3 linked regions of the Yarrowia lipolytica genome follow. The protein of the gene in region 1 interacts with the protein of each later gene in a pairwise test. Links are inferred from orthologs where the notes say so. Each region holds a gene or a part of one and is shown in the gene's direction. Other genes may lie near its edges.

The links. The genes of interacting proteins can lie anywhere in the genome.
Region 2: the proteins of YALI1_B11083g (region 1) and YALI1_C05423g interact in a two-hybrid assay, tested with the Saccharomyces cerevisiae proteins (2 studies listed by BioGRID). The link is inferred for Yarrowia lipolytica from reciprocal best matches to the Saccharomyces cerevisiae genes SUP35 and LSB1.
Region 3: the proteins of YALI1_B11083g (region 1) and YALI1_C28879g interact in binary tests that used the Saccharomyces cerevisiae proteins (3 or more experiments, as listed by UniProt). The link is inferred for Yarrowia lipolytica from reciprocal best matches to the Saccharomyces cerevisiae genes SUP35 and ITT1.

What each region holds. Positions count from the first base shown.
Region 1 is NC_090771.1:1,106,341-1,111,072, forward strand, and holds YALI1_B11083g (uncharacterized protein), read left to right. Parts: upstream 1-2,037; coding exon 2,038-4,224; downstream 4,225-4,732. UniProt on the Saccharomyces cerevisiae protein: GTPase component of the eRF1-eRF3-GTP ternary complex, a ternary complex that mediates translation termination in response to the termination codons UAA, UAG and UGA.
Region 2 is NC_090772.1:540,875-544,305, reverse strand, and holds YALI1_C05423g (uncharacterized protein), read left to right. Parts: upstream 1-1,917; coding exon 1,918-2,835; downstream 2,836-3,431. Other genes in the region: YALI1_C05494g (uncharacterized protein), read left to right, coding at 1-1,376. UniProt on the Saccharomyces cerevisiae protein: Involved in resistance to EDTA.
Region 3 is NC_090772.1:2,885,898-2,889,568, reverse strand, and holds YALI1_C28879g (uncharacterized protein), read left to right. Parts: upstream 1-1,662; coding exon 1,663-3,075; downstream 3,076-3,671. Other genes in the region: YALI1_C28895g (uncharacterized protein), read left to right, coding at 1-1,230. UniProt on the Saccharomyces cerevisiae protein: E3 ubiquitin-protein ligase involved in translation quality control. Involved in the rescue of stalled ribosomes by promoting ubiquitination and degradation of proteins on stalled ribosomes.

The sequences.
Region 1 (4,732 bases):
AGAGGCTGGTTTGTGGATTGTCCACAATTCAGTTCTCTGACCCTTCTACCAAGGGTATTCCTACTCCGGAACCAACAATACAGCAATACCAGTAGAACCAGTAGTACCAGAGGATGGGGAACAAGTAATGGCATTGTATCAGCAAAGGTGGACTCAAGAGAATAGTGAGAATTGATAATTTCACTCTACTCGTTAATATCGACAAGTCTCGGCCTGAGCTGGACGTGAATCATTCCGAACTGGAGGAGTAGAGGTCCAGGACATGGTTTCCGTACAATGAGGGTCTCCCACGGTCCATATTCTGGAGTAATTGCAAGTTTAGGCCAAATCGGATCCATTAAAACCCTGGCAAAAGTGATGGGTGTACTCTGAACTCCATCTTATGCGTTTCAGCCTACTACTGTGGATCAGGCGAGGTTCATGTATCGAAAAGTCGGGATTTAATAGATATATAAAGTCACCGAGTTGATAGATATCTGAAATAAAACCTTTCAAGCTGTTTCTGCCATTACTTGGGTGAAAAAATTGTACCCAACTCCCTTCCACTTCACGTAAGTATTCCCCAACTAAAAACTAACAGGAAGTCCCCGCGTTGTCTGATTCAGATCATATAAAACAGGATAGTAGTTATTGGTTGCACATATTTCTTATGGTCCAGGCTATCCCCTTCACTTTCAAGCCATATTATATAATTTCTTCAGTGATATCTCCACTGATCCTTTCAGAATATATTACTTTACAATTCAACAAAGTTTGAACAAGGTCTAACAAATGCCCAACTAAACAATCACAATGCACAAGATCCAATCCAACTGCACAATTACTACACCCATATGTGCAAATGTGTTACATCTATGATCTAAATTCACTTCTTATTCACGAGTGCTCACTCCCCTATCGTTCACGTGATCCCACTCCTCATTTCTGTAAAACATGGAACGTAGACAATAATATGAAATGTCCATCTTTTTAACCGGAAAAGATATGGGAATTCAGAAACTTCCAATCAATTCCCCGTCAGTCATTTGATCTATCTTTCAACTCCCCAACCCTCCAGCTTTTCTCTGTCATAAATTATAAGTTGCCAAAAATTCACCCCAGTACAGAAATCAGACCACATCTTCCCCAGCTCGCTCAAAATCCAATCTATATTGAAACCGAGACCTTGAATCGATTCTTACTTCGTCATTCACTCACAATACCAGCTCTCATAATCCCCCTTGGGGTATGTAAATGAGTTCCATTACAATACTCAGAGGGATAAACAACATACATGTCTCTATCACCCACCAGAGATACCCAGAGAGTATCCAAACAGTACCATTCGAGTCTCAGGGCCTCATTCTCTCAACTGCTATCTTTTTATTCCATAGAATCTCTCAAATCACTCCAAATCACCCCAAATCCAACCCTCCTCAAAAATGACTACAAAACCACCCTAGCTTCTCCTGTGGATGACCCTTGACAAATCTGGAACAATAACTCGAATCCCTATACTAAAATTACTCATTTATTCAACTTGCCAGTCCCCTATCATTTCTCAAAAGCCCACAAATCGCTGACTCATCGCCATCATCATTCAAAACAAAACATCTTCCCGACTTTTCCTGTAAAAATCCCACAACAAATCGCAAAACAGAACTGAATTTGTCATACAATTCTCGCCCATCTTCACCCTGGTTCCTCACTCAAAACCAACATATATCTCCCTTTGAAAACACACCAAATCAGTGTGTCCAGGTAGCACAGCTACAGCACAGCACAGCACAGCACAGTACACACGGCAGTTACTTACGTAATGCACCCAAAAGGACACCACGAATGTCACACCGTGTCAATTGTCACGTGTCAACGGACCCGACCCAAAAAAACAAACCGCGTCCGCTTCCCCATCGACCCTCCACCTACCTCCATCTTCTCCCCCACACTCCCCAGGGCTAGGGTTAAAATTTTCACCCTGAGTTAAGGTTTGCACTTTGAAAAACCACCCAGCATAATTTTGAGAATCACCACGCAACACTCACCACGACACACACAATGAGTGATCAATTCAACCAGGACTTTGCCAACAAGGCCAACATCAACGAGGGCCAGGGCCAGGGTCAGGGCCAGGGCCAGGGCTACGCTCCTCAGCAGTTTGTGCCCGGTCAGTCGTTTGTGCCCGGCCAGGCGTTTGTTCCCGGCCAGTCTTTTGCTCCCCAGGGCGGCTACGACCAGTACGGCGGCCAGCAGGGCGGCTACCAGGGCGGCTACCAGGGTGGCTACCAGGGCAACAACTACAACCAGGGCTACCAGGGCTACCAGGGCCGAGGCGGCTATTCCGGTCGAGGTCGGGGCGGCTACCGAGGAGGATACCAGGGTGGCTACAACAACTACAACCAGTACGACAATCAGTACGGCAACTACGGCGGCTACGACAACCAGTACGGAGGGGGCTATGACCAGCCTGAGGAGCCCCAGGAGAAGACTCTCACGCTGGAGGAGTACCAGAAGCAGAAACAGGAGGCTCTCAACAAGCTCAAGAAGCCCGCTGCCAAGTCTGGCGGAGCCCTCAAGATTGGAGGCGACAAACCCAAGTCTTCCGGAGGAGCCCTCAAGATTGGAGGAGACAAGCCCAAGACTTCGGGCGGCGCTCTCAAGATTGGAGGAGACAAGCCCGCCGAGAAGAAGACCGGAGGAGTTCTCAAGATTGGCGGAGACAAGGACAAGAAGGAAGAGTCCCCTGCCCCTGCTGCCGAGAAGAAGGAGTCCACTCCTGTTGCCGAGAAGAAGGAGGCTACCCCCGCTCCTGCCTCTAAGGAGTCTACTCCGGCCCCTGAGAAGAAGGAGTCCACTCCCGCTAAGGACGACTCTGCCGCCAACGCTGCCTCTGCTGACGCCCTGATCGCCGCCCAGAACGCCGAGATCGACCAGGAAACCATCAAGGAAATGTTTGGCGAGACCAAGGACCACATGTCCATCATTTTCATGGGCCACGTCGATGTCGGCAAATCCACTCTGGGAGGCCAGATCCTCTACCTCACCGGCACCGTCAACAAGCGAACTATTGAGAAGATGGAGAAGGAGGCTGCCGACGCCGGACGACCCGGCTGGTACCTGTCTTGGGTTATGGACATCAACAAGGAGGAGCGAGCCGAGGGAAAGACCGTCGAGGTGGGCCGGTCGTACTTTGAGACCGACAAGCGACGATACACTCTGCTCGACGCCCCCGGCCACAAGATGTACGTGCCCTCCATGATTGGAGGAGCCGCTCAGGCCGATGCCGGTATTCTCGTCATCTCTGCCCGAAAGGGAGAGTACGAGACCGGCTTCGAGCGAGACGGTCAGACCCGAGAGCACGCCATGCTGGCCAAGACCCAGGGTATCAACAAGCTGGTGATTGCCATTAACAAGATGGACGACTCGACCGTCAACTGGTCCAAGGAGCGATACGACGAGTGTATCAGCAAGCTGAAGCTCTACCTCAAGGGTCTGGGCTACTCGGACAAGACGGAGATCACCTTTATGCCCGTGTCCGGTTTCACCGGCGCTAACGTCAAGGAGCGAGTCTCCAAGGAGGTGTGCCCCTGGTACGACGGCCCCTCTCTGCTGGAGCTGCTTGACTCGTTTGAGCTCGAGCGGAACCTCACCGGCCCCTTCATGCTCCCCATTTCCAACAAGGAGAAGAACCTGGGTACCATTGTGGAGGGTAAGATCGAGGTTGGCACCGTCAAGAAGGGCGACAACCTGGTCGTCATGCCCTCTAAGGTCCCCGTCGAGGTCACCACCCTTTACAAGGAGACCGAGCAGGAGGTTGGCGGCGCGTCTGTTGGAGAGCAGATCCGACTCAAGGTCAAGGGCATTGAAGAGGAGGAGGTTCAGATTGGACAGGTTCTCTGTTCTGCCGCCCAACCCGTTGCTGCCGTCACCGTCTTTGAGGCCCAGATTGCCATCACCGAGCTCAAATCGATTCTGTCGACCGGTTTCTCTTGTGTGATGCACATCCATACCGCTGCTGAGGAGGTCACCTTTACTGCTCTGCTGCACAAGCTGGAGAAGGGTACCAACCGAAAGTCCAAGAAGCCCCCGGCTTTTGCCAAGAAGGGCATGAAGATCATTGCCCGGCTCGAGACCCAGAACCCCGTCTGTATGGACGAGTTTAGCAAGACTCCCCAGCTGGGTCGGTTCACTCTGCGAGACCAGGGTCAGAGTATCGCCATTGGTCGAGTTACCAAGCTGTTGTAAGCAGCTCATCTGCGAGCGTGACGAGCCGCCGCTGCCCGTAGGTTTTTCGTGCCAGCGGTCCAATAAGGAAGAATGTAAAAATTGTGTTAGTAATGAATGTTACTGTTTTAGGAGGTTACTGTTATCAGATGGATCTGTGTAGAGTAGAATAGGCCATGGCTGGAGGCATCCAGGGTCACGTTCAGCAGTTTCAGACAAGTAAGGTGCTGTACTTCTTGATGACCCTTCATGTCCCAGGCCAACATGAATTCGGGTCATAGCGGGAGCTTTTGTACCACAAAACGTTGAATTAATGACACCAATGGAATCAGGAGGCGATTCTGAACACATTGATATGTTATTTTTATCTGGAAAGCGTCTCTCCTTGGTTGTACGTTCCTTCTGTTTCCATTGACAAATGCACCTATAGGTGGGAATTTTGTGTGGTGAGAGGGTGCGATAATGGTATAAAAGGAATCAGGGCAAGATTCTGAACAGATGGGTCAACTGTTTGCTATCTCTTACAATA
Region 2 (3,431 bases), on another chromosome or scaffold:
CTACTGCCACCCCTACCGGTGACGTTTCGTCTGCCACCCCTACCGGTGACGCTTCGTCTTCCATCCCTACTGGTGATGTCTCATCTGCCACTCCTACCGGCGATGTCTCGTCTTCCACTCCTACTGGTGACGCTTCGTCTTCCATCCCTACTGGTGACGTTTCTTCTGCCACTCCTACTGGTGACGTTTCTTCTGCCACCCCTACTGGTGACGTTTCTTCTGTCACTCCTACCGGCGATGTTTCTTCTGCCATCCCCACCGGTGAAGAGACCGTTTCCACTTCCGGTGTTGTTCCCATTTCTTCTGGTCAAGAGTCTGCTTCAACATCTACAGATTCTAACTCTGCTACCGTTTCCTCTTCTGGCCAGGAGTCTGCCACTGGTTCCACGTCCGGTGCTGTTCCTACATTTGGTGAGCAGTCGGGCATCACGTCTGGATCTACCCCTACATTCACTGGTGACAATGGTTCTACTGCCACTGTCCCCATCTCGACAGAAGGCTCTGGAATCAACTCTGGAGAACTGGACTCTGCCACCCTTGAGGTCCCCACTGCTACATCTGCAACTGGTACTGTTTCCGTTGAATCTCAGATCACATCTTCTTCTGGAGGTGGTGGAGGTCTTGCCTCTGAAGACATTCCTGGATCCGCTACTGCTACTGGCACCGCTACTGTTACTGGCCTGGTTCCTGATGTTACTGGCTCGGCAACTGCCACAGGTTTGGCTTCTGAGGATCTTTCCGGCACTATCAGCCCACTTCCTACTACCACCAACTTGTCAGGCGCCTCTCAGCCTCTCACTACCATGTCTACTTCTACACTTGGTGGCGGTGGTGCTATTGATGGTGGTTCGAACGGATCTGGCTCTGGTTCAGGCTCTGAGGGCTCCGGCTCTAGTTCAGGCTCTGAGGGCTCCGGCTCTGGTTCAGGTTCTGAGGGCTCCGGCTCTGGCTCTGGCTCTGGTTCAGGTTCTGAGGGCTCCGGCTCTGGTTCTGGCTCAGGTTCAGGTTCAGGTTCTGAGGGCTCCGGCTCCGGCTCTGGCTCTGGCTCTGGCTCTGAGGGCTCCGGCTCTGGCTCTGGCTCTGGTTCAGGTTCTGAGGGCTCCGGCTCTGGCTCTGGCTCTGGTTCAGGTTCTGAGGGCTCCGGCTCTGGCTCTGGCTCTGGTTCAGGTTCTGAGGGCTCCGGCTCTGGCTCTGGCTCTGAGGGCTCCGGCTCTGGCTCTGGCTCTGAGGGCTCCGGCTCTGGCTCCGGCTCTGAAGGTGAAGCACCTCCCCAGTCGCCTGGTGGTGAGACCCTGCCTCCCCAGGCCAACTCTGCGAAGACTTATGGTGTCTCTGCTGGTATGATGGGCATGGTTATTTTGGTTGTTCTTTTCTAAGCTAGTTAGCTAGCTATTGGTTTCTACCTCTTAAAATTGTCAATTGTTAATGAATTCTTTGTATAAAAAATCTTGTTCCTTTTATTATTATATTTATATGTACATTTATTGTACAAGTATTACTGTACTTGTAGTTGTAGTCTCCAATAAGTACAATGCCTTGCTTGATAGTTTATTGAGCTCGGTCGTAAAGACGAGTAGGGCTATGCAAGATTAAGAAGTGTACTGAACTCTATGTATTTTGAAATTCTGGGTCTCGAGGTTCTAGAAGCCCGGTACGTCAGGGACCCTCGCCTGTCTGGAGGATGGCCAAAAACACGATTTATATATTTGCTGCTCTGTTTGTGTTTCTTGGTTTTATTGCCGGTCACGTGTTATGGAAATTCACGCAGATTTTTATACACCATCAGAGTGGCTGTGCTAAAATTATTAGGCTACAGTGTACATATAATAACCCATCTCTCGGCCACTTGTACTCTTGCACTCCCACCCTTTCCACGCTACACAGCACACGCTAGCGTTTTTTTACATCACTTTTACGATGGCGGCAGTTATCAACCGAAGTGTGACTTCGCTCCACAACGAGCTGGAGTTTCTGTTTGAGTCCGAGGTGATTTCCCAGGCTCTTTATGACGATATTTGCAACAAGATCCCTCGAAAGCTGACACCTGGTCAGAAGCTGGACTTGCCTGGTTCTCAAGTTGTTGGCATTGCCGAGGTGACTGAGCGGGTTGCAGCTGTTCAAATCACCCCTGCTGCCCCCTCCCCTCCCGTTGCTGTTCATCCTGCCTCTGCTGGTTCAGGTGGCAAGGTGGAGGCTCTCTATGACTACGTCGCACAGGACCCCACCGACCTGGCTCTTGTCAAGGGCGACCAGATTGACATCATCGAGAAGCTGAACAACGACTGGTGGAAGGGCCGAGGCCCCAGTGGCAAGGAGGGAATCTTCCCTGCCAACTACGTCAAGGAACTGTCTGATACTCCCTACATGGCTCCTCCTCCCGTGAGCCGATCCCAGAGCACTGTATCGTCTGTGGCTGCGGCAAGCTCCACCACCACTCTTCCCACGGTGTCCTCTTTGGCCGTGAACGAGGAGAAGTCCGAGAAGTCGGCCTACCCTTCTTACAAGCAGCCGGACTACGCCGCTCCCGCCGCCCATTACAACCCTCCTCCTCCCACACAGTACAACCCCCCTCCCCCAGAGCAGTATGGCTACCAGGCCCCACCTCCCCCGGGATACCAGGGAGGGTACCAACCTCCTCCTCCCCAAGGCTACCAGGGCCAGCAGCAGCAGCAATACTACCAGCCCCCTCCTCCGCAGACTGTGGTTGTGGAGCAGGGCCAGCAGCATCAGGGTGGCGGAGGCCATCTCAAGAGCATTGGTTCAAAGTTTGGAAACGCAGCCATCTTTGGTGCTGGAGCTACCCTTGGTGGAGACCTCATCAATTCTATCTTTTAATCACGAAGTAACGTCATAGAGAATATATTTATTGCCTAGTCTGTTGACAGACCATTGCCAGGCTCTTAAAGTGAGCTAATTAACCATCTGGGACTCCATTCTCAATCAGAGGGAGGTTACAGACCTGCATCGATCAGGCATGAGCGAGACGTGCGGAACATGGAGATCTGAACCCTCCCGAGCTTCCTAAGTTTGGCTCGTTCTTGTGGGTCCAATCTTGAGGTAAATCGTGGGCTGTGCGACTACTTGAACTCGTACTGTACTTGTACGAAACGCGTTCGTAGGTGGAGTTGACTGACTGTTGTCATAGGAACATGGTCATGGCGTCTACTTGTACCATTGTTTGTTATTGTGTTGTATGGTCTAGTCTGTTGCTGCCTGCACACTCTTTTGATTTGGCCCCCACGCCGTCACGTCACTGTGCATAGATATACGAAGGAGTGTATTTGAGAGTCCAGAAAATGCGAAAAAGAAAAGCTGATTGATAATTCCTCGGAACTTCGCTTGGAGAAAGAGAATCCCCAATTTGAAAGCTTTACCAAGCAACTAAAGAGTGTTTGGAGCGCTGAATGGGCTATTGTAGTGTTTATACAGCG
Region 3 (3,671 bases), on another chromosome or scaffold:
TCGCCAATTTTTCTGTCCCGTCCACCGCCCAATTTCTCGCCATTGGCGATTGTGCGAGGTTTCCAGCTGTTTTTTGTGGGTGCGTACCGATCGTTACAGAACCCCGATATCTTCCGAACAGAACACTACAGAAAGGCACTGAAGATGCTGGGATACTCGCTGGGAATCCAGCTGTTGATATGGTCGCCGATTCTCGTGCTCAAGTGGTTCTTGCATCTTTCCAAACTGGCATTTACTGGTCAAGACGCCCGGTTCACCATCAACGACGCACTGGGGTCTCTGCGGTTCATCCAAAACCACGTGCTCAACCTGGGACCGTTCGTGATTGCAGGAATGCGATACTTCCGTCCCGAAATCGACGAGATCTTCCTGCGATCTCTGCAACACGCAGACCAGACCTACGCCAAGAAACACCCTGAACTCAAGAACCCTCCCCAGTACTACATGCCTCTGGTGACATACAAGGAACAAGCTAGAGCCTATGGAACAGGCAAGGGCGGCCGACCATGGTGGTCGTTCATGTCCGGAAAGTCGTCCTCAGGAAACGACTTCTCTTCTTTCCTCAGCAGAATGGCTACCAGAACAGCCTTCACTCTCGCCATGTACCTCATCAAGGACGTGCCTGTGCTTGGTTCTCTGTCCATCAATTCTGCCTCCTTTTACTCTTTCAACCAGGTGGTTGGAACTCCTGCAGCTGCAGCAGTGTTTGGTCTGGGTCTCATGGTGCCCAAAAAGTGGCTGCTTGTCTTCCTGTCGGCCTTCTGGGGCTCTCGATCGTTGGTGCGAGAACTGCTTATCCCTTACTTTAAGAGAATCCCCTTTACCACCACCGACCGACAACACTGGCTTGCTGCTCGTGAGGGAGTCATTTTCGGATTCGGAGCTGGCTTCTTCCTGCTGCTGCGAATTCCATACGTTGGACTGCTCACCTACGGAGTTGCTGAAGCTTCAGCCGCCTACCTCATCACAAAAATCTCCGATCCCCCACCACACCCGTCGCAGTTCATGCCCTGGAGTGAACGGGAGGTTGCATGGACGTTTAACGATAGCGATCTGATGGGAGACGGTCCTTCGAAGCAGGCCCATGCCGCTGCCGCCGCTGCCGCCTCATCAAAACCCGCAGGAGTGCCAGGAGTGCCAGGAGCTTTCAAGCCATCTTCGTCTTCAAAACCGGCTCATCCTCAGCTCCCCCCTCGGCCCCCTGCTTACCATCGACAAAACAGCCTATAGAAATGTGCATTTGGCGTGCTCGAAAGCTTGCGAGAGCTCCTGGGCCGTCTGTAACAAAACCATTATAAAATACAATCATTACATACAAACATACTGTACAGGAACAAAGTACAGCACACGTAGCTGGTCGTAATGAACGGCATGCCCGTCGACTTCCATTGTCATTGTTGTGCTCAATAACGGCAGTTACCAAATTAGTTGGTCATGGTCAAGTTTATTGAGGAAACCCAACAAATCTAATTAGACTTTCAACAAACATGAGGACTTCAAGAAGTAAGAGAAATAGATACAGCTGTTTTACTGAATCAAAAGATGGAAACAAGGACGCAATCAGACCAATTCAAGAAGATGTACATCCTTTTCCCTTCATTCTATCCATGTTTCGTGGCACTTTTGCTCTCCATCTTCTCATGCGGCTGATTGAAGTGGTGCATGATATGGAGCGATTGTCTAAATTTCAAACTCTCATTCCACGTCTTTCCTGCACTCCCAACTCCTCTATCATTTCGTCCATTCGCCACCATGGAAGAGCTGGAGACGCTCGCCGCCATCTACCCCGAGCTGGAGTATGACACTGACACTCTGAGTGGGTCTCTGGAGATCACGGCGTCTTTCGAAGAGCCTGTGAAGGTGGTTTTTGGCGATGCAGACACGCAACATGAGATCAGGAACCTGCCGCCAGTGCTCCTGTTTTTTGCACTACCAGAGGGCTACCCGGAAACAAAACCGCCCCAGTTCGATCTCCAGTCGCTGTGGATGACTGACGGACAGATCGCCAAGCTGACAACGGACCTAATACACCAGTGGGAACAGGTCAAGGACGAGTCCACCCTGTTTGCTTGCGTTGATCTGATCAAGGAGCAGGTGGAGACCGTCTTTGGAGAAGCGCAACCGCTCAAGTTTGCCGCCAACTTGAAGTCGAACGTTCTCAACTATGACGTCTGCGCGGACAAGGAACATTTTGCCACAATGACTTTCACCTGTAGCATCTGCCAGGAGACTCGCAAGGGAGCCGTTTGCACACAACTCGCGTGTGCCCACGTCTCATGCACAGCGTGCCTCGCCGACTACTATTCCACTTGCATTACCCAGGGATATATCGAGATGGTACACTGTGTGGAGGTGGAGTGCAAGGATCCTCTGAGCCCGGAACAGCTGTCGGACATTGTGGGAAAGGAGAGCTACGAACGATACCAGAAACTGGTGCACAAAAGAAGACTAGAAAAGGACCCAAACTCAGTTACCTGTCCTCGAACTAACTGTGATACACTCGTGTATCGAAAACCAGGCGAGTACATGGCTCGGTGCTCCCGGTGCAAGTACGCCTTTTGCGTCAACTGCAGAAAGGCATGGCATGGCACTTACAGAGGCTGTGTGATTCACGTTCCCCCAGATTCGCTCATCAAGCACTACATCGACGAAGCTGACGAAGACGAAAAGAAGGATATCGAGTTCACATGGGGAAAGGCAAACATTGAGACTCATGTCAGACGATTGGAACATATGGAGGAGGACGAGAAACTTTTCAAGGATGCGATGAAGGAGGCAAACATAATTGCATGTCCACAATGCAATGTGCCTATTGAAAAAGCCGATGGATGCAACAAGATAAAGTGTGCACATTGCTTGGCTGCGTTCTGCTATCTTTGCGGCACTTCAGTGAGCTCGGAAGACCCATACGCCCACTGGAGAGACAAGGATGGTGATGGAGGAGACTGCTACGGCAGACTCTTCGAGGGTATCACTGAGGAAGAGTTGGAGAGAAGAGCTCAACTGGCAATGGTAGGCATTGTTGAGGAGGATGACGAAAACTGGCAGGCTTACGAATACGTCGAGCCCGAGTAACATTGCATTTTGTACATTAATTGATTGACTTTGAATCAAATAAAAATATATCTTGGAAACAGCAGTGGAGATGATTCACTTGGGCTCACAATTCTCGCTTTTTTTTTCTTCTTTCATCTTGTTTATTTATTATTTGGCTTCTTTCAGTTTTCTTTTGTTATATTCTAAAGAAATACTTTTTTTTCTTTCTAATAATTCATTACAGCAATATACCTAGTAAGCCGGGTTATTGGCGTTCAATAAATCATACACTTCTGGATCTTTGCGATGTGCGCTGCGGGGCGCTGTCGGTTGGTTACATAAGCTAATGTCACTAAGTAGGATAAAAAATTACAGTTTTTTTATATTCCGATATAGTGTAGGGGCTATCACATCACGCTCTCATTCAGAGCACCGTGGAGACCGGGGTTCGATTCCCCGTATCGGAGTCCTAGTTACGGCCATATCCTGGTGAAAATACGGCTTCCCGTCCGATCAGCCATAGTCAAGCACCAGAGAGTCTAGTTAGTATTGTAGTGGGAGACCATACGAGAATCCTGGGTGCTGTAATTTTTTTGGTTATATTTTTGTTAGGGGATCACAGGTGCTTTGAGAGA